Linked DNA regions of Macaca fascicularis. The protein of the gene in region 1 binds, or shares a complex with, the protein of each later gene. Links are inferred from orthologs where the notes say so. Each region holds a gene or a part of one and is shown in the gene's direction. Other genes may lie near its edges. The genes, in order: SNRPF, PPIH, CRNKL1, LSM3, GEMIN5, TXNL4A and CWC27.

What was found.
Region 2: SNRPF (region 1) and PPIH share a complex: the UniProt entries of both Homo sapiens proteins name them as parts of the U4/U6-U5 tri-snRNP complex. The link is inferred for Macaca fascicularis from reciprocal best matches to the Homo sapiens genes SNRPF and PPIH.
Region 3: SNRPF (region 1) and CRNKL1 share a complex: the UniProt entries of both Homo sapiens proteins name them as parts of the minor spliceosome. The link is inferred for Macaca fascicularis from reciprocal best matches to the Homo sapiens genes SNRPF and CRNKL1.
Region 4: SNRPF (region 1) and LSM3 share a complex: the UniProt entries of both Homo sapiens proteins name them as parts of the U4/U6-U5 tri-snRNP complex. The link is inferred for Macaca fascicularis from reciprocal best matches to the Homo sapiens genes SNRPF and LSM3.
Region 5: SNRPF (region 1) and GEMIN5 share a complex: the UniProt entries of both Homo sapiens proteins name them as parts of the SMN-Sm complex. The link is inferred for Macaca fascicularis from reciprocal best matches to the Homo sapiens genes SNRPF and GEMIN5.
Region 6: SNRPF (region 1) and TXNL4A share a complex: the UniProt entries of both Homo sapiens proteins name them as parts of the U4/U6-U5 tri-snRNP complex. The link is inferred for Macaca fascicularis from reciprocal best matches to the Homo sapiens genes SNRPF and TXNL4A.
Region 7: SNRPF (region 1) and CWC27 share a complex: the UniProt entries of both Homo sapiens proteins name them as parts of the minor spliceosome. The link is inferred for Macaca fascicularis from reciprocal best matches to the Homo sapiens genes SNRPF and CWC27.

What each region holds. Positions count from the first base shown.
Region 1 is NC_088385.1:102,891,561-102,896,092, forward strand, and holds the start of SNRPF (small nuclear ribonucleoprotein F), read left to right. Parts: upstream 1-1,682; 5' UTR 1,683-1,804; coding exon 1,805-1,807; intron 1,808-3,786; coding exon 3,787-3,912; intron 3,913-4,321; coding exon of another isoform or gene 4,322-4,384; exon of another isoform or gene 4,385-4,532. UniProt on the Homo sapiens protein: Plays a role in pre-mRNA splicing as a core component of the spliceosomal U1, U2, U4 and U5 small nuclear ribonucleoproteins (snRNPs), the building blocks of the spliceosome.
Region 2 is NC_088375.1:192,210,422-192,215,018, reverse strand, and holds the start of PPIH (peptidyl-prolyl cis-trans isomerase H), read left to right. Parts: upstream 1-1,453; 5' UTR 1,454-1,477; coding exon 1,478-1,543; intron 1,544-1,875; coding exon 1,876-1,940; intron 1,941-2,258; coding exon 2,259-2,282; intron 2,283-2,551; coding exon 2,552-2,596; intron 2,597-3,911; coding exon 3,912-3,954; intron 3,955-4,597. UniProt on the Homo sapiens protein: PPIase that catalyzes the cis-trans isomerization of proline imidic peptide bonds in oligopeptides and may therefore assist protein folding. Participates in pre-mRNA splicing.
Region 3 is NC_088384.1:67,264,157-67,268,081, forward strand, and holds part of CRNKL1 (crooked neck-like protein 1), read left to right. Parts: intron 1-103; coding exon 104-295; intron 296-992; coding exon 993-1,052; intron 1,053-1,850; coding exon 1,851-1,931; intron 1,932-2,813; coding exon 2,814-3,053; intron 3,054-3,925. UniProt on the Homo sapiens protein: Involved in pre-mRNA splicing process. As a component of the minor spliceosome, involved in the splicing of U12-type introns in pre-mRNAs.
Region 4 is NC_088376.1:152,442,575-152,447,126, forward strand, and holds the start of LSM3 (U6 snRNA-associated Sm-like protein LSm3), read left to right. Parts: upstream 1-1,721; 5' UTR 1,722-1,762; coding exon 1,763-1,783; intron 1,784-4,349; coding exon 4,350-4,460; intron 4,461-4,552. Other genes in the region: XPC (DNA repair protein complementing XP-C cells), read right to left, coding at 1,374-1,473. UniProt on the Homo sapiens protein: Plays a role in pre-mRNA splicing as component of the U4/U6-U5 tri-snRNP complex that is involved in spliceosome assembly, and as component of the precatalytic spliceosome (spliceosome B complex).
Region 5 is NC_088380.1:161,716,903-161,720,827, reverse strand, and holds part of GEMIN5 (gem-associated protein 5), read left to right. Parts: intron 1-421; coding exon 422-541; intron 542-1,902; coding exon 1,903-2,035; intron 2,036-3,021; coding exon 3,022-3,187; intron 3,188-3,925. UniProt on the Homo sapiens protein: The SMN complex catalyzes the assembly of small nuclear ribonucleoproteins (snRNPs), the building blocks of the spliceosome, and thereby plays an important role in the splicing of cellular pre-mRNAs.
Region 6 is NC_088392.1:1,012,527-1,017,041, forward strand, and holds the start of TXNL4A (thioredoxin-like protein 4A), read left to right. Parts: upstream 1-1,317; 5' UTR 1,318-1,491; coding exon 1,492-1,644; exon of another isoform or gene 1,645-1,914; intron 1,915-3,221; exon of another isoform or gene 3,222-3,258; coding exon of another isoform or gene 3,259-3,294; intron 3,295-4,025; exon of another isoform or gene 4,026-4,027; coding exon of another isoform or gene 4,028-4,093; intron 4,094-4,515. UniProt on the Homo sapiens protein: Plays a role in pre-mRNA splicing as component of the U5 snRNP and U4/U6-U5 tri-snRNP complexes that are involved in spliceosome assembly, and as component of the precatalytic spliceosome (spliceosome B complex).
Region 7 is NC_088380.1:70,449,361-70,453,285, forward strand, and holds part of CWC27 (spliceosome-associated protein CWC27 homolog), read left to right. Parts: intron 1-3,513; coding exon 3,514-3,626; intron 3,627-3,925. UniProt on the Homo sapiens protein: As part of the spliceosome, plays a role in pre-mRNA splicing. Probable inactive PPIase with no peptidyl-prolyl cis-trans isomerase activity. As a component of the minor spliceosome, involved in the splicing of U12-type introns in pre-mRNAs.

The sequences.
Region 1 (4,532 bases):
CTGGAGGCAGGGAACCTAAGGCCCATTCATGCTGACTGGGTATCAGAGGCTACTCCCATTTCAACCCCTCCTTTTTCTGCGTGGCAGTTGAAAAATGAAAGTACCTCTTATTGGTCCCCTCCTGCAACCAATCGGACCGGTTGTGGGCCAATGGGAAACCTCTAGAGGGCATTCAAACCCCAGAAAATTCTGTGACCAATGCTCTTGAGCCGCTTGCACCAGGCGGTGCCCACCCTGTGGAGTGTACTTTCATTTAAAATAAATCTCTGCTTTCGCTGCCTTGCTTTGTTTGTGCGTTTTGTCCAATTCTTTGTTGAAAACGGCAAGAACTCGGACAGCTACCCTCAACTGGTAACAGTTACCTGCTGGGCCTGCTTCCTCATCTCTAAAACGGGGCTGTCACCCCGAATCAGACGGTAAGGTAAGATTTCCACAATTGTTGAAAGAGCCTGACACATAGTAGGAACTCAAAGTCTGCACAAAGACTTAAAGTTCATGAAACAATATACAAACTAAGGGAGAAATCCACTTAAGTTTAGGGTGAATAAATCTAATAACTGTTTGGTAAAAACTACACTGACAATGACTGTCTTGTCAGTGTTCAACACTTATGTGAAACACTGAGCTTTTACAAGGCCAAGCCCCGTTTTAGGTTAAATTCTCGCAACCACGCTGAGGATGGTTCCGTTTTTAAAGCCGCGTTCCTGCCGTGGAAACAGTGGCCCTGAGGGTTAAGACACTGCCCAACACCGGCTGCGCCTGATAGACGCAGGTTCCGAATGCAGGCCCTCTCCAAAGTCTTGCCCACTGCTCCACAGTGCCTCAACAACCAACATTTCATCCTCAACCTCAAATCCATCTCTTCAGGGCCGCAAAAAAGCGTTACTTCCCAAAGGGCGTGTTCTCCAAGAACTGCATTTAGCATTTCAGATCAGAGTGAGCCGAACTCACTAGGATTACGACAAAAACCAGTGAGATTCAGATAACACCGTTACGTCGAAAGTTTTAATCCGTGACAGCGGAAATATTGCTTACGCCCTTAGGTAATTTCAAATGCACGTAAGAAGGCCGTGCCAGTCTCTGCTGGCGATGCAAAAGAAAGATGGGGCCGGCGGGGTCGTGGGGGGTGGGGGGACATGACATCATATCCCAGACACAACCTGACCTCGTTTAAAATAAATTCTGTATCCGACTCCCTTCGGTGCGTTTCACCGCCCCTAGTCTTGTCTGGCTACCCCCGAAGTCCTTTAAAAGGGGTTGAAATGGGTGTTGCAGAAGAGAGAATACTCAGGTAGAAACGGCCTGCGGCAGAGGCGCCCCCAAATCATGGAACCTGTTGGAAGAGTGAGGAAGGAACTCTGGGATCCTGAACATTCTCACGGGTGTAAAAAGACAAAGTAAAATCCCCATTAACCAAGTTGGGGAGAAGTCACATCCGTTACACAGCCTCTCCCAGACCGCACATTTACAACACCGGCCTGCCTCCAGTCCTTGGCTGCCTCACCTTGCTCCTCAGAGCGGGTTTCCCAAGACCCGCGCGCAGCCGGCCAGGCGCAAACTCAAGCCGCTGCTGGTTGCCAGGAGATACTGGTCCAACCATCTCCTCCAATCAGCGCGCATCTCTTTTCGTCCAATCACAGAGGCAGGAAGGGCCGTGGTGGGAGGTGAAAGGTCACACTCCTGTTTGGCGGCCATTTTTCTTGAAATTCAGCGGCTCGGGACCTGGGGTACCTGCTGTAGTCACGAGGGACAAGCGGCAGCCTGGTCGGCAGTGAGTAGCCTGCAATATTCGGCCGTGGTTACGATGGTAAGGAGAACGAGAACGGCGGGAGAAGCGGGGAGAAAGAGAAGGAGGGAGACCACCTCGCGGGGCCTAGTGGTTGCTTCGCGCGTTTCCCATTCATCCGCGTGAGGCGCCGCGCACCCGGTCGCCAGCTTCTTTCACTCTGCTTTTAGGATTTCTGAGGCGCGTGCTCCTCCCGATGCCTTTCTTTTTCTAGGAGTACCCGTGCCTTCTCCTCTTTGTTTGAATCCGGGCTTGGGATATTCTTGTTTGTGGCTACAGGGTCGGGGTAAAACTCAAAGAGAATTTGCACTTCCCACTTAACCACACTCCAAAATTCACTTTCATTGCATGAAAGTAATGATACGGCCATGCTCTAGTTTAACTCAGTTGGTTGGGGAAGACAGACAGTCAAAAAATAACAAATATGCAATTGCAAGTAATAAGTGCTAAGAAGAATGCAGACAGGAGGCTGTGAGGGTGCGCGTTAGACATTTAGAGGCTTAGTCAGAGATGGCCTCCCTAGGAGGTGGAATTTAACCTGAAGCCTAAGTGTCATGAAATAGACCCTTTAAAGAGCAGGAGGAGGAGTGTACCGAGCACAGGGAATAGGCGCATAAGACCTGCGGCCGGAAAGAAAGCTTGGTCAGTTGGAGAAATTGACAAAAAGGTACAGCCACTTGCAGGAAGAGTGGTTACGAGATGGTGTCGGAGGAGCAGGCGTTGGACAGGACCTCTTAGGCTGTATTGGGAGGTTTTGATTGTACTCCAAATCAATTGAAAATGATTGAGTTGGAAGCCATTGAATCATTTTAAGCAGAAATATGACAATTTGATGTGCACTTTAAAAAATCATGTTGCTGTGGTGGATAATAAATTGGAGAATGAAAACTGGAGACCCATTAGGTTATTGGAGTAATCGCCGTATCAAGTCACTCCGAATATGTTTATGTTAGAGGGGGTTAGTAGCCAAGTTTCTTAGTTCTGTTCTTTCTTTGACTGGTGAGTGAGCAGAAAAAGGCAAAAACCGAATTCACTGGAGATGTTAATGGTTTGCTGAACAAACTTTAAGTGATTTCTATAAGAGGCAGTGCTAGTGACAAAGTCATTTAGGACCTAGCCCTAGCTTCCACAGTTAAAGACTGTCAAGCGTCATCTGCCCTCTGCTTCCTTCTGTAGTCTTATATTTGGGACTTTGACTGACAATGCTGAATTGTATGTCCCCAAAATCACCTTGTTGCTTCACTCTTCCCTCCTTTTACATAAGTAGCTAGCCTTGCCTGGAACAGGATTTTTTCCCGCTCTGGAAATAAATTCTCATTCTTTAAAACTGAGGTTAACTTATTTCAGGCAACCTTTCCTTTTTTCCCTGGATTGCTTCGGTACCCTTGTGCCTAGTATATCTCCTCTTATTATGTTGCAATATGCAGTATAATTATTTGTATGTGAGGAGCCCCCCTCCCCATCTCCAACTTCTTGACAGGGACTCTGTTATTTATTTATGACAAGGTCTTGCTCTGTTCCCTAGTAGCCGGGACTACAGGTGTGCACCACCACATCTGACTATTTTTGGTAGAGAAGGTGGTCTCACTATGTTGCCTGGGCTGGTCTTGAAATTCTGGCCTCAAGTGATCCCCCTGCCTTGGCCTTCCAGAATGCTGGAATTACAGATATGAGCCACCCTTTCTGGCCCGCATTTTTTTTTTTTAAAGTGCCTTTATCTTTGTTTCTTTAGAGCTCAGAACAGTAAGTGATGTATGTAGTCGGTGTTATCTTAAGTGAATAGTGAGTATTTTGTTTTGATGGGTTAAAGGTGATACTGACTAACTGGATATTTAAATTTCCCTGGTACTCTCCAATAAATAAAAGTGAAAATTGTGTACTAAAATAATGAGTCAAGAGTTTTCTTCATTTGCATACCACAAAATATTGGTATTTAGTAGAAGAGAGTTGGTGGTGGGAGGAAAAATAATTAATTGGATCCTTTTTTGTTCTTTGTGCAGAGTTTACCCCTCAATCCCAAACCTTTCCTCAATGGACTAACAGGAAAGCCAGTGATGGTGAAACTTAAGTGGGGAATGGAGTACAAGGGCTATCTGGTATCTGTAGATGGCTACATGAACATGCAGGTAAGCTAAAGAGCTGTAAAGGTCATAACATTGCATTTAGTTTGCTTCACCTTATTGCTCAAAGGTTTAGTCTGACTAATAAGAATACATACAATTAAATTGACAAATGTACGGCAAAATTAAAAAATAAAGTCAAAGCCAGGGAGGATACTATGATATACTAGGTACAAGACATGGACTTAAACCAGAATTCAGCCACAGATTTTATTCCTAGTAGTTAAAGTAAGAAGAGCTCAGACATTTAATTCATAATAATACTGTAAGGGAAACACACTACTTTGCTGGAGAAAACAAAACATTTCTCATCATTTAGCCCTGAAAGAAAGTTTTCAAGTGAAATTCATGAGTCTTTTAATGAATGATGCTAAAGGCACAACACCAAAGTTATTGAGGAAATTCATTCCTTCAGGGGAAAGACACATCTGCCGAAGAAATTGAACTGACTGTATGTCTGTCAAATGAGTTTCTGTAAATGATTCAGCCATGTGTTTTGGTGGGGGTTTTTTTGTAATTAATTTTCTTTTTATTGTGGTAAAATATACATTACAATTTTGCCACTCTAACCATTTTTAAGTGTATAATTCAGTGGCACTAAATACCTTAACATTGTTCTACAGCCA
Region 2 (4,597 bases), on another chromosome or scaffold:
CTGCTGCTGTTCCTTTTCTCCCTCTTCCCCTTTCTTCTTTTTCATTTGGAGGAGACCAAGAGGAGAGGATCAGTAACCAGGAATAAAAATGACCCTTTAAATTGAGACACACTGGATTTTTATATGTAATTCTTGCTTCCTCCGACGACAGAGCTAGAAAAGATGATCAAAGGACCTAGGAAATAATAACTATTATATTAAATGCATGCTGTTATAGCTAATGAGTCTTGCCCAAGTTCCCCTTCTTTCACTAAATTCATTGAATCTATTATATTTACCTACTATGTGCTATTCAGTAGGAGACATTGCAGCTACAGCTGCGAACAGGACTGAGAGAGTCTCTACTTTCATGGAGTTTATATGCTATTAGGGAGGAAGATGTATGTGTGTGTGGCAGGAAATGAGGTGCAGACACATACCATACAAATGTGAAATGGGGGGTGGCATGAAGAAAACAAACCAGTGATCTGAGTGACCAAGGGCTACTTTAGATTAGGTCTAATGTTGCCTCTGAGGAGGTAACATCTGGGGTGAGCCTTGAACTACAAGGAGCATTACTTCCCACACACATAGCCCAACCAAACCCCACCATCACCCCGCCAACCCACATTAAGATCTGGAAGGAATATTTCAGACAGAAGAAACAGCTATTACAAGGCCTTAAAGAAAGGAGGGATCTCAGTGACCTGGAGGAGCAGACAGGTCAGAGCACAGTAACTAAGGGCAAGTGGTACAAGATGAGGTCAGGTAGGTAATAGCCAGATTAATGCACTGGAGGGCTTCCTATGTACAGAATTGGATTTTATTCTAAATATAGGAAGCCAGGAGTTATTTTAAAAATAAATAGGAATCACAAGAGGTATTTTAAAAATAAAAAATAAAAAACTCTAGTTACTCTGTGGGAAACGAATTGGAAATGACCAAACTGGGAGCTTGTGGCAGAACGGAAACCTAATCTATTGTCCTGACTTAGAGGAAGGGACAAATATTTACTTAGCAAGCCTTTACGTGCCAAGCTGTTCTAAACGCTGAGGATGAACAAACCAGAGTTCCTGCCTTCACGGTGTTCACAGACTAGCGGGCAGAAGACAGACACAGCACGTGTGGCGGTGTAGAGGGCTTGGTTCCAAGAGCCGATAAGGAGGACCCTGGCGACTGCCTAGTCCAAAAGCCCTAGCTAGAGCAAGATCAACTTGTACTGCCCTTAGTACAGCCACGTGAGTGGGGTGACCATCGACCTTAACCAAAAAGATGTCAAGGCTTTCCTCCTCCTCACTCCCGCGTCCCCCGTCTCAGGGAGAGTCTCCCAGCTAGACCCCAGCAGCCTCAGCACACACGGCACGGGGCGACAGCTTCCGGGGGCGGGGCCCGGTCTCTCTCTGCGTCCACCGCGCCTGCTCCCCGGACGAAACCCGCGGACAGGGCTTTAGGTTCGCCGGAATCCCATGCTCCCGACTTCTGCTTCCGGGTCGGAGCCATGGCGGTGGCAAATTCAAGTCCTGTTAACCCCGTGGTGTTCTTTGATGTCAGCATTGGCGGTCAGGTGAGATCCAGGACGCTACCCACACCTGCGCCGAAGGGAAACTGCTCGGGGCTAGCTAGGCAGGCAGAACTCACTCAGAGAGAGCGGACTCGGGAAGCCAGCCAGAAAGCGAAATTGCACCCGAACCTACCGACCTGCAGGGCGGGGAGAAATGAGGAGAAGTCTCCCCAATCCTAGCGCCCCGCTTCTGGAGGAACTGGGTGGTTAGACCAGAGAGGCGGAGGTGGGTGATACCGAGCGGCAGGGTGGTGGGTCAGCCCATCCTGCCCCCAGCTCCGTGAAGCCCTCATGGTCTTGGACTGGGCCTTCTGACAGTCTCCCGCTGATTGCAGGAAGTTGGCCGCATGAAGATCGAGCTCTTTGCAGACGTTGTGCCTAAGACGGCCGAGAACTTTAGGTAAGGACGTGCTCCAGTTCCGCTGGATTAGCTAAGGCAGAAGTCGGGCTCTAGTCAGCCGCCTGAATAGCCTGTCTACCTCTGTCCGTCCGCTCACTGCTCTTGAGACCTGATTCCTCCGTGCTTTGCTCTGTCTGGTTGCCGTTTGGATTGTTCCCGTGTTAATTTACGTTGTTAGTCTGTACGTCTCCGTGTTTGGACGTCTGGCTGGCGGATTGGTGGACTTGCTGGCTCCATTGTTTATTCTTTCCCGTCTTTAGAGGCGGTCACGACTGTGATGTCATAGTGATTGAATTGTTCACTTTTTGTCCCTTTCAGGCAGTTCTGCACCGGAGAATTCAGGTCAGTTTCAGATGTGTTTGACTTCTTTGCCTGCTCCAGAAGGGTGTTCTGGGGCTGCGGTGAGGGTATCGGTGAACCAGCTGCTGGCCTTGAATGATTGCTGGTGACAGTGATAGAAGGTAATGCCCCAAGGGTCTGTCCCTAGTTTATTTGCCTTCTTTATGTCTGTCAACCATCTTTAGGAGAGTCCTTTTGGCTCCAGTGCATGGTAAACTGGAAAGGCCTTGTGCTACCTGCTATCACTCCAAGTCTCTTTCTTTTTGTTATAGAAAAGATGGGGTTCCAATAGGATACAAAGGAAGCACCTTCCACAGGTAAGGCTTTTGGCAAGCCATCCTAGAGTCTTTCAGAAATATTTCCTGGGGGATTAGGCTCTTTAGAGGAAAATAAAACCAGAGGTAATTCTTACATTTCTTGAGAAGAAATGTTTTTGTGGACTCAATAACTGAAGATTTATTAAATATTCTAACTCTACTTATACTCTCCCACTTCTTATGTCTTTAAAACAGAAACTACTCATCTTTACAATATCCTGTCTTTTTCATGCACTTGTTTGTGCAAATGCAGATTTTTAAAGAAGTACACTTGTAATCCTAAAGTGCATATAATATATCCTGCTGGTTGCTATTTATAACTAATTCCTAAAATGATCATATATGATTGTCCAAGGATAATCATATTTCCTGGGGAGTGGAGTATGGCAACACTTAGTCTCATTTCAATATAGAATCTTTCTCATGGCCTCACTGTGGTTAGTAACAATGTTAGCACATAATTATATCACAGCTTTAGAACTGTGGGTCTCTAATCCCCAGTAAGACTCCTGTGAAGTGGTATGTGTGATCTGCATTCTACAGAGGAGGAAACTGAGGATAACAAAGGTTAAGGACCCTCCCTAGGGGTAATAGCTAACAATTGTTAAGCCCTTACATGTGTAGCAGTACCTTTCACATAAATTCTCTGTAGTTCTTTCCCCCAAATTTACATCAAATCCTTGATCTGCCTTTTGCTTTGGCAAGTAATGTGGTCATTCTTCCTGCAGGCTTTCAGCCCCTTCTTCTTGTTACTGTTCAGGTACCAGATCATGCACTTGATCAACTCTAACATGCCCTAATTTATAACTAAAATCCTTTTTTATGGTTAATTATCCTTTCAGCTTAATCATTCCAGGAAAAGAATAATCTTCTTTTTTTGTTGTTTTGGTTTTTGGTTTTTGGTTTTTTTTTGAGACAGAGTCCCGCTCTGTCACCCAGGCTAGAGTGCAGTGGCATGATCTTGGCTCACTGCAACCTCCGCCTTCTGGGTTCAAGCAATTCTTTTGCCTCAGCCTCCCAAGTAGCCGGGAATACAGGCATGTGCCACCACGACTGGCTAATTTTTGTATTTTTAGTAGAGATGGGGTTTTGCCATGTTGGCCAGGCTGGTCTCAAACTCCTGGCCTCATGTGATCTGCCTGCCTCGGCCTCCCAAACTGCTGGGATTACAGGCGTGAGTCACCGCACCCAGCTAAGAATGGTGATTTTATAATAGCCAAAGTTATAGTGTATTTTGAAATCAATGTTAATCTAATACAATAATAACAAAGTCTCCATAAAATCTTCTCTCAGTATTCTTTGCTCTCTGTTTCAGGGTCATAAAGGATTTCATGATTCAGGGTGGAGATTTTGTTAATGTAAGTACTATTCCTTTTCTATCAAAGACCTGTAGTTTTAGTTTTTATTATTGTTGCAATTGCTGTTTTTACTACAGAGACCCAGTCTTAAGGCTTGAGAACAATAGCCAGGTTTGATGGGGGTGTTGGAGAGAATGGTGATGGGGAAGTTCTTGAAAGTGGCTAGGTACAACTGACTGTAGATAACAGACTTTAGCACTTTGATTGAGGCATTAACTTCCATGGTCCAAATCTCAGCCTTTTTGAGCCAGAAATTGGACTTTTTAAGAATACCCTGTAGATGATCTATGATAGGTTCACACTAATTAGTCATATGAAACTTAGTCAGAAATCAGCTGTGGTTTGTTTTTGTTTTTGTTTTTTTCTGAATGGAGGTAAATCTCCTTCTAGTGGACTAAATGCCTGTCTCATTTTCTCTTTTACTTCTGGTGTCACAGTGCCTGGAAAGCTGAGTTTTTCATAAGAAGTTGATTTGTGGGCAAGGAATCAGAGCGAGATAGGTAGATAGTTCTGGAGGAATTTTGCGCTATGCACTGGGAGGGCCCAGTGAAATAGTTCTTTTTTGCTAACCATAACTTTCTTGTAAGTAGACTGTTTTTTTCCCCCAAATGAAGCCTCCCTCCCCACCCCAACCTTGGAGGGT
Region 3 (3,925 bases), on another chromosome or scaffold:
TAAAATATAGAAAGTCGGCCTGATGCCTTTTTTCAGCTTGCTTAACCTGGCAAGTGCAGCTCTTGGTTTTGTTTTTTATTTATTAAACTGGTTGTCTTTCTAGGCGAATCCACACAATTACGATGCATGGTTTGATTACTTGCGCTTGGTAGAAAGTGATGCAGAAGCTGAAGCCGTGAGAGAAGTCTATGAAAGGGCCATTGCCAATGTCCCACCCATTCAGGAGAAGAGGCACTGGAAGCGCTACATTTATCTTTGGATCAACTATGCACTCTATGAAGAATTGGAGGCAAAGGTGAAAAAACAGAATTATGTGTCAGCTGTTAATGGTTTCCTCTCCTCTGTATTCACAGCTCACCTATTGTGGATATTTATAATTCTTGAAACAAGGAAATTTAGTTTTAAATTTTTATAGGCTTCTGTTCAAGCCATACAGTTACATGTTCACTCTGCAACATTTTAAACTCTCTGTGCTTGTTATGGCCACACGTGAGGGGCTTTTCTTATTTTGGTTTGATTTTTACTTGAGGCACAACAAGATATCACTTGGAACTTGAAAGAGAACGGTGAACCAGCCCTTAGTTTAATTAAATATAGTTTCCTGGATTTGCTCATTAATAGGGGTAATTATGGCTAGATTATGCATTTTTGCTTTTAGGAAAAATCAAGTGGCATTTTCAGAAATCATTTGTATTAACCTTCTGGGTTTGATCTGAGACTACGAAATGTCTTTGTTTCTTTCCGCCATCAGGCAAAAAGTCTTTCTACAAAGAAGGGCTTAGAGTTTGGTGTCTTGTTGGTGATTCTTAAACTGAAGTTTCATGGCCATTCATACTTTAGATCATAAATCAGGGTTGGCAAGTAACAACTTGTGAAACATACTCAGTTTTGGGGATGTACCTTTTTACTAGTATCAGTAAAATTAGTAACTAGTAAAATGAGTGTTAGCAGCAGACTTCAGTATTTTGTGAAAATTTCTTATCCTAATACAGGATCCTGAGAGGACAAGACAGGTGTATCAAGCCTCTTTGGAACTAATTCCTCACAAAAAGGTATGTTTGCTCTAAAGTGTTCCATTTCAAACAGGTCAGAATCCTCTTCTGTTACTTGTGAAGTAACTCAGTGAAATAATATTGATTGATAAAATATTTCCCTGACCCACCATGGACAACATAAGTAAAACTGAGATATGCACCTTGCCTCTGAACACAGCTCACAGTCTAGGTCGGAGGACTGCCTGCATTGACAAACAAAGGAAATTCAGAGAAGGCTAGGTAATTTGAATAGTCTGAGTGGAGGGAGAAAGATTTCCATGCAGAGAGCACACAACATGTGTCGGGGACACAGAGGCAGATTTGTTGGTAACAGCGAGTGTGTCCATGCCCAGATCAATGTGCCCCTTGTGTAGATGGTTGAGATGTTACCTCTGCCTTGTTTCCCAGCACGAGAAACAAAACGTGTTTCCTTCTGTAGAAGTGTTGACAGAGTTACTTTTCAGAATAGAGGTAGGACATTCTGCCCACATACAAGCACGCCTACAAAACAAAGTCTGTTCTGAGTAGAGGCTATCGTGCCATGCAGTACAGTACAGTATTTGGATCATGATTCTGAGGAGAGGCTACCATGCCAGGCAGTACAGTGCAGTATCTGGATCATGGGATGTGGGTTTCTAGCTTTTGTGAAATGAATGTGGTCTTTTTTGCTTGTAAATAAGCAGAGTACATTCCTCTTACTCTGAAGTTTTAGAGAAATAGAATTACCAATGGCCTTGGTTAATTTAAATTTACTTTACTTCAATTTAATTTGGATGAGGCTTTTAAGCTAGATATTTTTGTGCTTTTGTTTTCTAGTTCACATTTGCCAAAATGTGGATACTGTATGCACAGTTTGAAATACGACAGAAGAATCTGTCATTAGCCAGAAGAGCATTGGTAAGTAAAGAAAGGATCAAGATGTCTGATTAAGTTCTATGAGAAAGAAATTAAAGTCTTGGTGCTTGGAAGTTATACAATTCCTACTTTAGAAAGTGACAGAAGTATTATACCTTTATAGCCTGGGACATGTTAGAAAATATGCATCCTCTGTAAAAACACTGACTAATAATGCGTAAATTATTCTTATTACCTGGGGTAAATTACATTTTGTTTCAATATTGGAAACTTCTCTAGCTACCAGTTACTAGATCTTTCCACAGACTAGAATTGGTAATCTGATCCTGTGCAAGCTTTTTGGTGTATTAAACGCACTTTTAATTGTTCTACTTTTTTTTTTCCTTTTTTTTTTTCTTTTCCTGTTTATTGGTTTTTTTTTTTTTTTTTTTTTTTTTTTTTTTTTTTTTTTTTGAGACAGGGTCTCGCTCTGTTCCGCAAGCTGGAATGCAGTGGCACAATCTTGGAATCTTGGCTCACTGCAAACTCTGCCTCCTGGGCTGAAATAATCCTCCCACGTTGGCCTCTCAGAATACTGGGATTACAGGCATGAGCCACCATGCCTTGTCCTTTTTATTTATAGGAGGTGTTATGCATCTGACATCCATATTCCCTAGGAGATCCTGAGAAACTTTCAAATCTTATTTTATTTAGTTGCCCAAACAATTCTGGAACACTGCCTCTTGCTGAATGAATTAGAGGAGTTTCCTTCAGCCTTTTGTCAAGAATCAGTAAACATTGTGATACCACAGAGGGAAAGAACGGTAGGCCACGTTGACTTTGCAAGATTCTTCCTCAGCAGAGGACAACCTCTAGGGCAGTGCAATAACTGCACAAATTGAATCCACTACAGTATCATAGTGGTCTGGTTATTTTATTTTCCAGGGAACTTCCATAGGCAAATGTCCAAAAAACAAATTATTTAAAGTTTACATAGAGTTGGAGCTACAGCTTCGAGAATTTGACAGATGCCGGAAGCTTTATGAAAAGTTCCTGGAATTCGGACCTGAAAATTGTACCTCGTGGATTAAATTTGCTGAATTAGAGACAATCCTTGGTGATATTGACAGAGCACGGGCAATCTATGAATTAGCCATCAGTCAGCCACGTTTAGACATGCCAGAGGTGAGCATCTCAAGTCAAATACCATTTTAAGATACTTGTTTAGTCTTACTTTAGATGACCATCTAAATGTGGGTGTATTTTAGAGTATAAAGATGATCTAGCTAACTTAGTCTCTTCTGCTCAGATTAGGCTTGTATGTGGAAAGGTGACTGTCGGGGACAGGGGAGGTACCCCTCCTGTTAGATACCAGTAGACATCCAGGATGATGCCCAGGATGAATTGGGATATCGTGGGGGTGGGTGATGCCCCTCTCCAACAGGGAAGCCTAAAGGGGCTGGGGAAGATGCCAGGCAAAGAAGCAGCCAGCAGGCTGGCCCACCTGGAGAACAAGGGGGATGGAGGTGGGAACACATATCCCTGTATTCTCTAAACCAGGATGTCCTTGCCACTACTGTTGTCACTGTCCTGAAAGTCGTCGCCTGCCTTCAGTAGTTAAGCTTGACCCACAAGGTAGCACCAAACCACAGCTAGGACCAATTTGAATCTCACAGGAGCCGTAGAACTCACCCAGTTGTTTTGTTAATCTCATGCACTGACATGACCCTGCATTTAATGGTTTGGCCCCCTGACTGCGTTAAGGCAGAGCTTTGGGTATCACTGAGTTTGTCAGTTGTCCTCAGCTCCTCCACCAGACTGCCAGGTCTCAGGTGTCCAGGCCACGGTTTATTCATCCTTATGCCCTGCCAGGCTGCACCGAGCCAGTGCTCACCTGTTCAGTGAATGCTTGTTGCATTGAACTCTGATAATAACAAGGAGTGTACAGTAGAGGTAAGAACATACATACTGGCTAACCTGGGCCTATTTTCTCTCTGGAAGCTCAACTGCATGTAGCTGGAATATGAAAGAGTACCTGGGAGATGCTTGGCAAGTTT
Region 4 (4,552 bases), on another chromosome or scaffold:
AAAAAATATTTATTTAGCACTTAGCCCTACCAATCGACGGGCCCCGCATCCACAGATTCAACCAACCACAGATGAATATATTTCGGGAAAAAGAAAACCCACAAATTTTAAAACTATAGTATGACAACTATTTCCATAGCATCTACATTGTATTAGATATTACAAGTGATCTAGAGATGATTTAAAGTATGTCGGAGTATGCGCATAGGTTACATGGAAACACTAGGCCATTTGATACAAGGTACTTGAGCATCACAGGTTTTAGTATCCACGGGGTATCTGGGAAGGACTACCTTAGTTTGCTCAAGGAATGTCTGACTTGAGATTTGAAGAAATCAGCCCTGGCAAAAGCCATGGTGGGGGGTCACTCTAGGCCGAAGGAATATCAAAGGAAAAGGCTCAAGAAATAACTTGGCATATTTGAGGAAGAGAAAGGAGGCCAATGAGGAGGGTATCTGGCAAGGAAACAAGTGGTAGGAGAAACAGGAGAGGTAGCAAGAGCCAAAACACGTAGCATCTTGCAGGCCAGGATAAGACAACTGGGTTTTAAACTAAGAGCAATGGAAAACCAAGGAGAGTTTAAAGCAGGAGCATGGCATGATTTTTTTTTTTTTTTTAAAGATTATTTGCGTTGCTGGATGCAGAGCTGGGAGGCCAGTCAAGAGGAAACTGCAGTCACTCAACTGAAAGGTGATGGTGACTTGGACAGGGGTTGTGGCCATGGAAATGAAGAGAAGTGGACAAATTTGAAATACAGTCTGAGGCTGAACTGACTGGACTTGCTGACGGGACTGGATGTGTGCACATAAGAAAAAGGTGGACTTTGTTTTATAACAAGTATTGGGACTGGAAAAACGGAGGAAACCATAGATTTGAAGGGGAAGACCATGAGCTCTGCACTGTCCACGACAAATGTAAGAAGCCTATCCAATATCCACGAGGGGAAGTCAGGTGGGATCCCACTGTGGAACTCTGGGCGAGACTCAGCTGAAGTTATCATTCGGGAGTCAGCACACTGCATCACTCTACGTCCTGGTCCGTCCGTCCGTTTTCCTGGGACACAAATAACTGCCTTCTCCGCGTTCAACCCTGAACATCTGCGCTGTATCCTCTGGACAACGGGGAGCGGGAAAGAAGCTACGCAGGAGCTTGGGTCGGGCGAGGCTCACGGGAAGCCGCTCTGGGTGCAGAGGACAAAGGCGCAGGGACAGCGGGGAGGGCCGGCCGCGGCCTGCCGTGCTGCCCCCACTGCGCGGAACGCGCGCAGCAACCTCCACCCGGCCTCCGCGTCTGGACTCCCGCCGCCCCTGCCTCTGGGCCTCCTCCGCCCACCGGCAGAGTCTCCCGCGAAGCCCGCTGGGCCACGCTCTCACCCTCCTCCTCCTCACGCCGGGTCTTGCTCTTGGCCTTGGACTTCTGGCTGCGCGTTTCGCGTCCCCGCGGCTCCCCGCCGGCCGCGCGCTTCCGAGCCATATTGCTTGTCGGGGAAAAATCCACTTCGCGAGTGACGCACCAGGCCGCGATGCGTTAGAACGCAGGCCCCGCCCCGAGGCGGGCGCGTCTGGCCGCGCCCCTTCGTTGGAGGCCTAGTCACGCCCCCAAAGGAAGCTCCGCCCCATACCCGTGGCCACTAAAAAACCGCGGGAAGCAGGCAAGAGCACAGCAGGTTTCTATTTCCGGTGTATTGTAGCATCACGTTTCCGGAGCTCGGCGTTGCTCTTGTGTTCTCGCGAGAGGCGGGAAAGGGCGCAGGGTTTGAAACATGGCGGACGACGTAGACCAGGTGAGTGAATTTTAAGGCGGTGGCTCGGCGCCGCTTCTTGTACTAAACTGCTTTTTCCAAACGCAGGAAAAATGGCCAGTCGCGCCTCTTCTTTCCAAGTCACACGGCCTAATCCGCCCCATCCTTTCCGTAAACACCCCTGTCCGAATTTTGCTGCAGGCCCTGAGGTCTTTTCCGTTAGAAGGCCACCTGATGACTATTCATCACACTCTTCGCTTTGTTTTTTTAAATCTGTAAATTATTATGCGTGCCTACCTCACGGAGCTGTCAGGATTCCAATAGAAAGCCAGATAATAAAGTTAGGAGTTGTTATTACTGAGCACAACAATTATTTACTCATTCAGCAGAGAGAGTGAACATCAGCTTTGTATGGTTAGACACTGTTCTAAGAGCCAGGGACACTGACATCGATATATAAGTGATCCTTGCCATGACTTGGAGCTTATATTCGCGAGGAGAACAGATAAATATAAATATGTAAGATTTATAGGAACTGTGATGTGCTATGAAGGAAACAAGGAACTGGTATGCAGAATAACAGATGGTCCTAGAAGCTTTTTCACCTGGTCTTTTTCTTCCTCAAATATCTTTGGAGATCATGCTACAACTTAAACTTTCTACTGAAATCTCACCTCCTCAGAGAGGACTTCTGCCCAAATAGCACTCCCCCTACTCTGCTTACCCTGCCTCATTTTTCTTCATAGAACGTTATTTTTTCATATTAAATGTATGCATCTTTGTTTAATGTGTATCTCTCCTGACTAGAATGTAAGTGCCATAACAGTAGGCATTTTGTTTTGTTCATTCTTTTGTCCTTGGGGTTTAGAACAGTGCTGGAAATACTCAACAAATATTTGAGTGAATGAGTTAGATGATCAGAGGAGGCCTCTTTTAAAAGCCAATGTATAAAGCTACAGGATGAAAAAGAACAGAAAGTGGGCATCCCAGACAGAGGCTTAGGTAGCAGTAGAGCTCTGTCATGTGCATATTCTTACAGTATTATAATTATTCATATGCCTATCCACATTAGAATGAGCTCCTTGAGGGTGGAGATTGTGACTTCTGTATCATTGTAATCTAACAGTTGGTTATCAGATCCTTTAACAAACACCTGTTGAACTGAGGGACATAGGGACCAGTTGAGTTAGGTTATTTTTTTTTCTCTCATCGGGCCTTTTGAATCTTTAGCGCCTGTTACGAATTCAGTTACCTTCCTCCACTGGCCTTGTGTGCTTACTAAAGAAGCTCTCCTTGAATCATCTAACTCTTTAATGGCTGCAACCCTCCCTTCCATGTGGGTGACCCCAAGTCATCCTAGCCCTGACCTCTAAAACCAGTGTTTCCAGCAGTTCTTTAATAATATAATATTAGTAGGAATCTTTTCTTTTCTTTTTTTTTTTTGGATGGAGTCTCACTCTATCGCCCAGGCTGGAGTGCAGTGGCGTGATCTCAGTTCACTGCAACCTCTGCCTCCTGGTTCAAGCGATTCTCCTGTCTCAGCCTCCCAAGTAGCTGGGACTACAGGCACGTGCCAGCACGCCTGGCTAATTTTTGTATTTTTAGTAGAGACGGGGTTCACCATGTTGGCCAGGCTGGTCTCAAACTCCTAACCTCAGGTGATCTGCCTTTCTCAGCCTCCCAAAGTGCTGGAATTCAGGCCTGAGCCACCACGCCCAGCCAAAAGGAACCGTTTCTAAGTATTAATATTTTCTGCTTTCCTGGCACTGTTTTAAATGCATTAACTAGTTTCATCCTCATAAGAATCCAGAAGGAAGGTTGTGGCTTTCTCAATTACAAATGAAGAATCTGAGAATTACAGATGGCATGATTTTTAATCTCAGTTCATAAGTGTCAGGTCACAGCCAGGAGTTGAACCCAGACTGCCTGACTCCAAAGTCAGTGCTTGCTTGCTTGTTGGCACCATCTTGGCTCACTGCAACCTCCACCTCCCAGGCTCAGGCAATCCTCCCACCTCAGCCTCGGAGTAGCTGGGACTACAGGCGCATGCCACCATGCCCGGCTAAGCCAGTGCTTTGAACCAGTGTTCTATTCTGGCTACTAAATATTCATCTTACTGGCCAGTTGGCAGCCTAACCTCAACCTGTGCTGAATTCATAATCTTCCCATAAACCTACACCTCTACTTGGCATTCTGACTAGTATATGGTAGGCATTAAGTGAGTGTTTTTCCTATGATTACATAATATTTGAGATAAAGCTAAAGTTCCTAAGACCCTATACCCTGAAATCGGGTCAGGCAGTTTGGATTTTGAGGGAACAAAGTATAGTCATGATTATTTTGCTGTGTAACTCCTTCTTATGTATGCGTGTTTTAATCTACATTTATATAGCACATACTATGTGAAAAGTTCTGTTCTAAGCCTTCATATATGTCACTTAAGCCTCATAAAAACAGTATTAGGTAGACACTATTATCTCCATTTTACAGATTAGGAGACTGAGGCAGAAAAAGGTTAAATAACTTGCACATGGTCATACAGCATAGCAGTGATTTAAGCACTACTTTATCTCTAGTACTATATTACTAAACCTGTTTCTGTTATCAGCAACAAACTACCAACACTGTAGAGGAGCCCCTGGATCTTATCAGGCTCAGCCTAGATGAGCGAATTTATGTGAAGATGAGAAATGACCGAGAGCTTCGAGGCAGATTACATGTGAGTAAATTTATCAAGTTACCTTGAAATCAGATTCCTTCCCACCCCCACTCCCTTGAAATGTAAAACCTGTCCAGAGTGAAAAGGTATTT
Region 5 (3,925 bases), on another chromosome or scaffold:
AGTTTCGCCCTTGCTGCCTAGGCTGGAGCGCGATCTCAGCTCACCGCAACCTCCGCCTCCCAGGTTCAAGCGATTCTCCTGCCTCAGCCTCCCAAGTAGCTGGAATTACAGGCATGCGCCACCATGCCCAGCTAATCTTGTATTTTTAGTAGAGACAGGTTTCTCCATGTTGGTCAGACTGGTCTTGAACTTCCGACCTTAGGTGATCCACCTGCCTCAGCCTCCCAAAGTGCTGGGATTACAGGCGTGAGCCACTGTGCCCGGCTGAATTATATCATTTTAATTATACATAAAACTTCAAATTTTACAGTTCAGACCTATGAAAGAGATAGCTAAGTTCTGGGAACTCTTGCAAACTAATTGTTTTATATTAGTGTGTGTTTAATGCAAATTAAAAGCAAAATTGCTACCTATCTCATAGAAGAAGCTGAAATTACCAATGGGAATGCTGTGGCACAAGCTCCAGTAACAAAAGGCTGCTACTTAGCCACTGGAAGCAAAGATCAAACCATTCGAATCTGGAACTGTTCTAGAGGCCGAGGTAAGATTGATCTTTCTTTTGTGATGTAACCTGTGTTGATCTGGTGGAAGTAGAGGGTTTTTTGTTCTGTCTTATTGTCCTGTGGGTGTGTCATCTATCTGAGAGCAGTTCTTCACTTTTCGGTCTAGAATTCTGCTTCCTCATTTGAGCCTGGGCTAGAACTGTCTATTCTCTCAACATCTGGCCTTAGAATGAGTATTTCCCATGCATTCCAGAAGAAAACAAGGACCTCTTGGTTTATAGAAAGGGTCACTATTTGGCATGGAGAGCAGAATATTTGTAATAAAAATGGGAATATTAGAACATGATATGGCCTAGGCCAGGAGAATGGAAAAGATCTCAAGAGTTAGAGCTTTTAATGCACAAATGCAGAATAACATACACCCAGCCTGGAATTATGTGTAAAAGCTCATTTTATCCAAATTATAGAGCCCCTCAATCATTTAGCGTTCCCAAATTTCTCTTTGAACAGAACTTTTCTCGTTAAGTTTAAAAATTAAGAGAAACTCTAGGCATAATTAATATTTATAATATATTAGGGAATATAACCTTTATAGTAAAAATCTTGCTTTTCTCTTTCTAGCGGGCTTCTCCATTTTATTTTTTTTTTCTCGCAGTTTTTTAAGCTGTGGTGGAAAATACAATATTTGCCATTTTTATCACTTTTAAGTGTACATTTAAGTGGTATTAAGTATACCCTAAAGTTGTGCAACTGTCACAACCACCTGTCTCCAGAATTCTACTCTCCATTCTCCCCTCCCCCGGGCCCTGGCAACCATCATTCTGCTTTCTGCTCTATGATTTTGACTACTCTTGAGTATTTTCTTTGAGTGAAATTAGACATATGATATGTCTTTTTGTGATTGGCTTATTTCACTTAGCATATATCCCTGAGGTTTGTTGATGTTGTACCGTACGTCAGCATATCCTTCCTTTCTAAGGCTGAATAATATTCCATTGTATGTATGTCCCACATTTTGCATACCCACTCATCCACTCGATCTCCTGACTTCATGATCTGCTCGCCTCAGCCTCCCAAAGTGCTGGGATTACAGGCATGAGCCACCGCGCCTGGCCAAAAAAAGAAAATATACTCTTAATGTGTTGAGGTTGTCAAGATAGCTTATGGAAGCTTATTTGACCTAAATGTAGCTGGACTAGTATTAACCACTGTTTATAGTGGTTAAAAATATAACCATTATAATGGTTATAATTGTAACCATTGGAAAACGAGATCTGAATTCTAAGTAACCAAACTAACAAGCTTTTACAGCTCAGACTGTGTATTGTGAACTGCCAGCAATGTCATGCATGTAATTTCACTGTCTTGAGTGCCCATTGGCCTTCCTTTTAATCTGCAGGGGTGATGATTTTGAAATTGCCCTTTCTGAAGAGAAGAGGAGGGGGTATAGACCCAACTGTTAAAGAGCGCCTTTGGTTGACACTCCATTGGCCCAGCAATCAGCCAACACAGCTGGTATCTAGCTGTTTTGGGTAAGTCTTTTATGGTCATGCTTTCTTAGATATGTTTTGTTTTTCTATTTGGCCTCAAGGACTCCTAGGTTTCTCTTTGTAGATGGAGAAAATAATGGCCAAGGCTTGTATTATGATGGGCCCCATTTGAAATGGAAAAATTGTGAGACTGATGCTTGTGCTGTCTACTAACAGAGCTGTAAAAAGATCAAATAAGTATAGTCTGGCAGTTAGGAATATGGACTCTGAAGTCAGAAGTAAATTTCAGAATCACTTTGTCACTTACTGCCTTGTATTCATGAGCAAGACCCTTTACTTTTCTGAGCTTCAGTCACTTCATGTGTAGAAAGGGGAGATGGTTATAATATTTTCTCTTAGGTTGGATGGCTATGCCCATTCAGTAAACAGAGTTCATTGACTACCTACTTCTAGTGACTGGAGATAAATCTGTTTAAAGGGTAGTCCAGTATACTCACATGGTTCAAGAAGAATGAAATTATATAATAAACTGTCCTGTCTTCCCTGGCTACTTGGTTCCCCTTTCTGTGGCTCAAATTTTTTTTTTTTTTTAAACAGGGTCTTGCTCTGTTACCCAGGCTTGAATGCAGTGATGCAAACACAGCTCACTGCAGCCTCAACCTCCTGGGCTCAAGCAATTCTCCCACCTCAGCCTCCCAAGTAACTGGGACCATAGGTGTGCACCACCATGCCCAACTAATTTTTTAATTGTTTGTAGAGGCAGTCTCACTTTGTTGCCTAGGCTGTTCTTGAGATCTGGGCTCCAAGCTATCCTCCTGCCTCAGCTTCACAGAGTGCTGAGATTACAGATGTGAGCTACTGCACCCAGCCTTCCCAGAGATATTTTGTGCGTATTTTCAGAATATGCAATTTTTCTCTCCTTAAAAGACAAATCATTTTGCAGCTATGAGCCTAGACTCTGTGACTCAACAGTCACTTGTTTTCAGATTGTTTGTAAAAGAACTAATGCTTATGTTTTTCCTTCACAGAGGTGAACTGTTGCAATGGGATCTCACTCAATCTTGGAGACGGAAATACACCCTCTTCAGTGCCTCATCAGAAGGGCAAAATCATTCAAGAATTGTGTTTAATTTATGTCCTTTACAAACAGAGGATGACAAACAGCTATTACTTTCCACATCAATGGATAGAGATGTAAGAGCTGCTTATTTTCACTCAGCATTGTAGAGCAGCAGTTTACAACTTGGGTGGGATTAGAGGGCTTTTTCAAAGCACCTGTCAAGTCATAATACCCCACCCCTGACTCCAATTTCAGAGTTACTGCTACAGATCAGCACTGAATATATCAATAGCTCACATGTAGGGAGAATGTGAAGACCCATCAAAATGGTTTTTTGTTAAAGCAGACATGATAAAGAAGTTTTGCCCAGGGAAGGATATATTAGGTCAAGCTTGTCCAACCCATGGCTCAGGATGGTTTTAAGCTCATCAGCTGTTGTTAGTGGGGTTTTTTTCTTTTCTTTTTTTTTTTTTTTTTTGAGACGGAGTCTCGCTCTGTCTCCCAGGCTGGAGTGCAGTGGCGCGATCTCAGCTCACTGCAAGCTCCACCTCCTGGGTTCACGCCATTCTCCTGCCTAAGCCTCCCAAGTAGCTGGGACTACAGGCGTGCCCACCTGCGCCCGGCTAACTTTTTTGTGTGTGTGTTTTTAGTAGAGACAGGGTTTCACTGTGTTCGCCAGGATGGCCTCGATCTCCTGACCTCATGATCCCCCTGCCTCAGCCTCCCAGAGTGCTGGGATTACAGGCATGAACCACATGCCCAGCCTAGTTTTAGTGTATTTTATGTGTGGCCCAAGACAATTCTGCTTCCACTGTGGCCCCAGGAAGCCAAAAGATTCGACACCCCTGTGTTAGGTCCTCATGCTATGGTTT
Region 6 (4,515 bases), on another chromosome or scaffold:
TTTTTTGTATTTTTAGTAGAGACGGGGTTTCACCATGTTGGTCAGACTGGTCTTAAACTCCCAACCACAGGCGATCCACCGGCCTCGGCTTCCCAAAGTGCCGGGATTACAGGCCTGAGCCACCGCGCCCCGGCATGATTTGTTGTCAATTTGTCATCCAAAGGACCACAAGGATGGCTGGATAGCAGACAAGAGTTTTACTGTCAATGTCAGTTTGCAAACCAGGGGGAGTCTCTAACATGAACCCAAAGTGCTCTCTCAGAAGAACAGAGATTAGAGGTTTTATTTTAAAAAGAGAAATATTATTTCTCTTGGAGAAAGTTCATAGGCACCAGTAAGGGTCTGGGGAGCTCTGACTGGGGAGCGAAGCCGGGGGAGCCAGATCAGTCCTGGAGGTGCAAGTTATGCTGAAGCTATGCAATAAAACTGGCTTCAGGTCGGGCGCGGTGGCTTCCTCCAGTAATTTCAGCGCTTTGGGAGGCCGAAGCGGGCGGATCACTTGAGGTCAGGGGTTCGAAACCAGCCTGGCCAACATGGTTAAACCCCGTCTCTACTAAGTACAAAAAAACTAGCCGGGCTGGCGCCTGTAGTCCCAGCTTACGGGGAGGCTGAGGCAGGAGAAGCGCTTGAACCCGGGAGGCGGGGGCTGCAGTGGGCCGAGATCACGCCACTGCACTCCAGCCTGCGCGACAGAACGAGACAACGTCTCAAAAAAAATTTTTTTTCTTTATAAAAAGACAAAAACTCTGGTTTCGGGTTACAACAGGCAGCTCAGCAGCCGGCCTGACGGTGACATTCCTCAAGGACGGCCTGCCCAGTGCTTCCCCCCACCCCGCTGCTCGGCTCTGCCGTGGCTGGGTATGGCAACAACGACACATTTTTATGGTCAAGTTTCACAAATGACACACACGAACCGTCTCGCTAACACACAGCACAAACGATGACCCGAAACAGACACCGGAAAGGAAAAAAACGAGCCGCAGTGCCGGGCATGCCGGGCCTTTCTGAAGACGTCCCCATCCGTGGCTGGAGGACAGCCCGGGCGGCGGCGGGCGGCCTCGGGGCGGGTGCGTCGGGGCAGGGCACGGCGAGCCCGGGGCTTCTCAGGACCACCAGGCCGCCTGGACGCTGGGGAGGAACCCCCACTCCGACGCCGGCTAGGAGGGCACCAACCGCGCTCCACCGTGGCCAGGTCGCCGCCGCTCCCGCCGGCCAACGACAAGTTAGCGCGGCGTCTGTACGCGCGTGACGTCAGCACGCACGGCGCCAGCCCGTGCGCATGACGTCAGCACGCACGGCGTCGGTGCGTGCGCGCCCAGAGGTTCCGCCCGGCGGCAGTGCCAGCGGAGCTTGCGGGTGCGGGTGGGACCGGGTTTCGGCTGTGGGCCCGGGGGCGGCGGGGGCCGCGGAGTGAGGGGCCGGCTGAGCCCACCACCTCGCTGGGCCCTCCCTGGCGCCCGGCCTCGGGCGGCGGCGAGCGCGCGGGTCGCCATGTCGTACATGCTCCCGCACCTGCACAACGGCTGGCAGGTGGACCAGGCCATTCTCTCCGAGGAGGACCGCGTGGTCGTCATCCGCTTCGGCCACGACTGGGACCCCACCTGCATGAAGATGGACGAGGTCCTATACAGCATCGCCGAGAAGGTAGCGCGCCGGGCCCTCCCGCCCTGCTGGCTGTGCTTCCGCAGCGGCCCCGCGCCTCTGCCCCGCCGGCCTCGCCTGGGGGCGCGAGCCGTTCCCCGAGGAGGGGCCGCGGCGCGGTCGTCCGGGCGATTCCTTCCCGCGCTGCGGGCGAGCGCTCTCGGGGACTGTGCCGGCGTTTCGCGCCTTTTTCTGCAGGGAGGTCCTGTAGTTGTTCACGTTTTAAAGGGTTTATGATCCCCCTCCCCTCGAAGGAATTCATTATTTCTGTTGGTAAGGCGTTTTTCCCAATCTTACAGTGCAGTGAACAAAGTAACACTTGCAGATTTTGAGAGCGCAGATCCTTAATTTAAAAGGATGCCCTTTTTTGGTGCCTTGTTTGTTTGTTGTATGTGTAAAGCAGAACTTTCATGTTAATAGCATAAGAAATCCTGTTTTTCTGTTGTTGTTTTCTCCCACCGCGCTTTTTGTAAGTCATGTGATTTATAGCTTAGAGTGATTAAGATGCAGAAAACATCGGGAGAAAATAGAACTATGCTTTGTTGGAACTAGTTTTCTGAATTTCTAATATTAGTACATTGAGTGGCCTTGGCACTTACTTGCTGACAATAAAAGTTGTGGGACACTATTTTATAACCAGGTTTCATTCTTTTTCTGTGGTTCCTCACAGCAATTTTAGGATGGCGTTTATTTAGGTTTTGCAGCTGTAGCAATAGGGCAAAGGGCACAAATACTAGGGTGTTAATAAAATATTTGCCATATTAATTTTCCGTAAGTAATTTGAGCGGTTATTCATTTTGATGAAGAGTAAAAGTAACATTGAAGCTATCTTTTCTTTCACAGATGCTAAAGTAGGCTGGGTTAAAATAACTCCTTTGAGTAAAGAGTAACAGATATAAAGACATTTTATATTGAGGAAAGGAAAGACTGTCTGGCCTGCCATTTATTAATTCTTGCTATTTCTTATTTAGTAGGAGAGGCGTGATGTTAGGAACTGTTGTTATATTTTAGTTATTACAAGAATCTCTTGGAGTGCTTACTAAAATGCATCTGTGATTCTGAGTCTATGGGTGTGGGGTGAAGTCCAGCAATGGCTTTTTAAAGAAGCCCCTCAGGGAATTCTGATGTGACCTGACCTTGAACCACACACTCAGAAACCCTTCCATGGGGGTCAGGGACAGAGGCGGAGTGCTTTATTACCAGCCATCTCCCAGCCTCTTCCTCTTGGACAGCAGGACACTGAGGACTTGAGGAGCTGCCTAGGGAATCAGGAGAGCAGCAGTTCTCTCACACTGGGGCTTCTGCCAGCCAGGGATTAGAGATGATGAGTGAGGCAGTGCCAGCACATCAGCTTTTCATTGCTTGACTTGTAGTGGACAAGGGCAGATACTGGAAATCCAGCGAAGAATTGACGAAGAGCAGTTTCCCAATAAGTAAATCACTGCTTGTAAATCACTGACTTTGAGTTACGAGTTCTAGAATCTTTCACTGTTCTACCTTGCAGATGGTGGCATAAACATCAGCTGGTGTTCAGATCCTGCTGCCGGCAGCTCGAGGCTAGGATGGCTGGCGATGTGAGGGCCTTTGTCTCATCACATCCAGGCAGAGCTCAGCAAGATGCTCTTAGCTAGGAAACAGATTTTATGTGTTAATGTAAGTGTTAGGGTCTTTGCCAGATTTGCTCTTTTTTTCCAATTCCTTTATGTCCGATTTCTTTGTTATTACAGAATGAATCACTGTATCACTAGTGGACACACACTTAAGGACAGTTGAAATGGGCTCACTTTGGGGTATTTTTTTTTTTTTTTTGGTCTTTTAAAATAGTTTGATTTTTGTTTCTGTCCAAAAATTTGGATTGCTTTATTAATAAACTTTTAATGCAAATATTATAGTATAATTATTAAAAGCGCAAACCTAGGCCAGGCACGGTGGTTCATATCTGTAATCCCAGCACTTTGGTTGGGAGGCTAGTGTAGGCAGATCACTTGAGCCCAGGAATTCGAGACCAGCCTGGACAATATGGTGAAACCCGTTCTCTACTAAAAGTACAAATGCCAGACGTGGTGGCACATGCCTGTAGTCCCAGCTACTTGGGAGGCTGAGGTGGGAGAATCACCTGAGCCCGGGAAGTCAAGGCTGCAGTGAGCCATGATTATACCACTGAACTCCAGCCTGGGCAACAGGAGTGAGACCCTGTCTCCAAAAATAAGTGCAAACCTGAAATGCATTAAAAGACTATTCGTGTTTTATTTTCTTCTTAGTATATGGGCAAAATATGACTTTCTAATTCTGGAAGCTCTTTTGGGGAAACTCAACAGAAATTTTTGAAATGTAAGATTTTAGTATAAAGAACAATATAACTATTTAAAAATTTCCCTGTGCAGAAATGGCAGATAATGGAGAATCTTCCTTATCTTGTTATGAGTCCTGTCGATGTCCCAGCTGTTTTAAAGTGAGTAACAGTTGCAGATGTTCGGCTGGACTTGATACGATTTTTTCCTGGATGTGTTGTATTGATCTGCTGCTTCCACAAGGCCCACTGGCCTCATGCTGGGTTAGAGCTGAGCTGTGAACTTCAGGAAGAAAGTTAGTCTGGAAACAGAGCTACACTTAAATATTTCACAGGTGCCTACAGTTTGCTAATAAGTGTGGGGCAATTCATTTGATAAAGTGATAATAATAAAGTTTTCAGCTGGGCATTGTGTCGCACGCCTGTGGTCCCAGCACTTTGGGAGGCCGAGGTGGGTGGTTCCCTTGAGCCCAGGAGTTTGAGAACAGCCTGGGCAACATGGTGAAACCTTGTCTGTACAAAAAGTGCAAACATTAGCTGGGCGTGGTGGCCTGCGCCTGTGGTCTCAGCTACTCGGTAGGGCA
Region 7 (3,925 bases), on another chromosome or scaffold:
AAATGCAAATCTGATCATGTGCACAGTGCTCAAAAAGTATTGGTTGACTGCTTATTGTGGGTCTAGAGGAATATTCATTATATGATATATACTGGGGTATATTTTATACTCAAATTTGAATATGAATTTGTAGCATCTGAGTGAAGATATTAGTTTGACCTCACATATGTGTTGAACTTGAAAATGTGTAGTTTGCTTTCACATTGTTTAATCTTCAGATTGACACTGTGCCTTAATTTATGTTATTAGATTTATGAGAAAATGGAGTTTAAGATTGTATAGCTAGCAAAAGGCGAGATTCAAACTCCTGACTGCTACATGCAGTGTTAGTGTAACTCATTAAACAGTTACCTAGGAATATAGGAGAGATACTTTTAGACCTTTTGCTTTTTATAGTGTGTATTTGTAACCAGAGGGAACTTGTCTGCACTAGGGAGCTCTTGTAAATACAGCCCAACTGCCCTGCACTGGGAGAAGGGAGTAAGCAAAGTCAGCTGGTCTTCCTTTCTACTTCTTCTTACGTACTGTGTACTAAATACAGTTGTTAGAATACAGATTATATTTTTTAAAATATGCATTGTACATCCAGTTATGCTTTGCAAATATAAATAATTATGAGGGTGTCTCCAAGCCACTAAAATAGGAACTTTATAAATTATGTCAGTAATTGTATCAGTAAAATGCCTGGCCCACAGTAGATACTTGATAAATATTTTTTATTGAATGAGTTATATTCAGGTTATATTCAGTTGCAGGTAATAGAAGACCCAACTTAAAATGATTTAAATAATAAAGACATTTATCATCCTCTATGTCAAGAAATCTGGTGAAATCTTTAGGGAAGCTCTGTGAAATCTTTAGGGAACTGTGCTCTTTACATCTTTCTGCTTTGTAACCCTAAGCATGTGATTGAATCATGTCTGCCTAACTCAATAGTTGGTTCAACCACAACCTGCTTTGTTGCTACTTGCTTTTTGTTTGTTTTTACAACAACAAAAATAATAGCTTTTGTTTATTCAGTACTTCATACTACATATGTTCTCCTCTTGTGCTTACCTAATGTAAGTACAGAACTAATTTCAGTGATGTAAAATAATTTCTTTCCTTCCACCTAAAGGATTTTTTTAAAAACCTGTGGGGAAGTTTATACAACATAGAACTAACCATTTTAAGTGTACAGTTCAGTGTCAGTTAGTACATTCACTGTATTGTGCAGCTGGCACCTCTGTATAGTTATAAAACACTTTATTACCCCGAAAGAAAACTCTGTATCCATTAACCCAGTCATTCTCTATTCTCCCCTTGATAGGATTCAGCTCTGTGTCCCCACCCAGATCTCACCTTGAATTGTAATCCCCATAATCCCCACATGTCTAGGGCAGGACCAGGTAGAAGTGATTGGATCATAGGGGCATTTTCTCCCTTACTGTTCTTGTGATAATGAGTGAGTCTCATAAGATCTGGTGGTTTTATAAGCATCTGACATTTCGCCTGCTTGCACTCACTCCGTCCCGCTACCTGAAGAAAGTGCCTGCTTCTCCTTTGCCATCCACCATGATTGTAAGTTTCCTGAGGCCTCTGCCCAATGTGGAACTGTCAGTTAATTAAACCTCTTTCCTTTATAAATTATCCAGTCTCAAGTATTTCTTCATAGCAGTGTGAGAATGGAATAACATACCCCTTCTCCACCCACAGCCCCCAGCAACCACCAATCTATTTTCCATCTCTGCAGATTTACCTATTCTAGATATTTCTTATAAATGGAGTCTGACAGTATGTGACTCTGTGTTTGGGTTCTTTCACTTAGCATGTTTTTGAAGTTCATCCATTTTGTAGCATGTATCAGTATTTCATTCCTTTTTGTGACAGTCATATTCCATCATATGTATATATCACATTTTATTTATCCATTCATCTGTTGATAGACATTTGAATTGTTTACACCTGTTGGCTCTTGTGACTAGTGCTGCTATGAACATTTGTGTGTGAGTATTTGAGTACTTGTTTTCAACTCTTTTGGATATATATACATATATATAATTTGGATGTATATGTAAACAATCGATTCTTTTGGATATATATAGAAATAATATATATAAATATCTGATATTTCATAAAAGCAAATCTGATCATGTGCACAGTGATATATATATTATATATTGTTTATATATCAAACAATATATATCAAAATTACTTATAACTACTATTATAATTACTTATATATTATATATTGTTTATGTGAACTATGTATATTTACACTTAAAAACTATATATTAATATATAAACATATATATTACCTGTATACACATACACCTAGAAGCATAATTGCTGGATTACATGCTAATTCTGTGTTTAACTTTTTACACTATTTTATATTCCCACCAGCAATGTAAAAGGGTTCCAGTTTCATCACATCCTTACCAATACTTACTCTTTTAAGGTTTTTGATGTTAGCCATTCTAGTGGGTGTGAAATAGTATCTGATTGTGGTTTTGATTTGCGTTTCTCTAATGACTAATAATATTGAGCATCTTTTCTTATGCGTGTTGGCCATTATTGCTACTTCTTAATGTAAATTCTCTTATTCAGGCAAACTCTAATTCCTGCTCCCCACTCAATTTTTCACTTATGCTTTGACTCACTGAGATGCCATGCTTCTGCCATTCCCAAGTTAACTTCCTTTTCTTCTATCAAGTACCCTAATGATTTTAGGTTCCAGATAATATATAGTATGGGAGGTCATATACAATCTGCCCTGTATATTTATGAGTTCTAAATTATATACTCCAATTGTATATTTTTGAATTATATATAAATATGAATAATTTATTTCAATCATTTAGCAAAACAATTGAGCTAATTGGACTCAAGTATGTATTGTGTTATTTGTTTTGTTTATTCAGAGTTTCTTGAGGAGGGTGTATTGATGGTTCCAGACCTATAACTAATAAGTAATTTTGATGTATTATGAGTTTGTATATTAATAAATTAATTTTCTGTGAGGAAAAGAGGAAGCAATCGGAAATAAGGTGTTCATCTTTGCCAGGGTTTCTCAGTCTCCACACAGTTGACATTTTGGGCTGGTAATTCTCTGTTGTGGGGACTGTCTTTTGCAGTATAGGATGTTTAGCAGTATCCCTGCCCCCTACTCACTAGATGCCAATAGTATCCCCCATTTCTGAAAAATATTTTCAGAAATTGACAAATGTCCCCTGGGGCACAAAATTGCTGCTCCTTCCTGCCAGAACTCTCTAATTTCTATTTTGAAAACCAATCCAGAGTTTGAGAGAATCCTAGAAATAAAAACAAAAAGTCAGCAATGATGGTTTCTGTAGAAATGTGTGCTGTTTTGAGAAGTAACTATTTTATAAGAAGGAGGATACAAAAGGTTTTGGCTTGGGAGCCTATTTAACGTTCTGGAAAATAAATCTTTTGACTCTAGCTGTATTAATTTTGGTAACTGTAGATATGATTAATTTTAGACATTGATAAATTATTTTTATTTTTTTTCAGCTTATTATGACAATACCATTTTTCATAGAGTTGTGCCTGGTTTTATAGTCCAAGGCGGAGATCCTACTGGCACAGGGAGTGGTGGAGAGTCTATCTATGGAGCACCATTCAAAGTAAGACTGAATTATTATTTTTATTACTATTTTTGTTGTTATTATTTCCAAGTCAGTTTGGATTGCTTAATCGAAAATGATTGTGTTCCACAAGAGGAAAAAACATTTCACAGTAGTATATAAAAATCAGGCTGGGTGCAGTAGCTCATGCCTGTAATTCCAGCACTTTGGGAAGCCAAGGGGGGCGGATCATTTGAGGTCAGGAGTTTGAGACCAGCCTGGCCAATGGTGAAACCCCGTCTCTACTAAAATTACAAAAAGTAGCCAGGCATGGTGGCACACACCTGTAATCCCAGCTA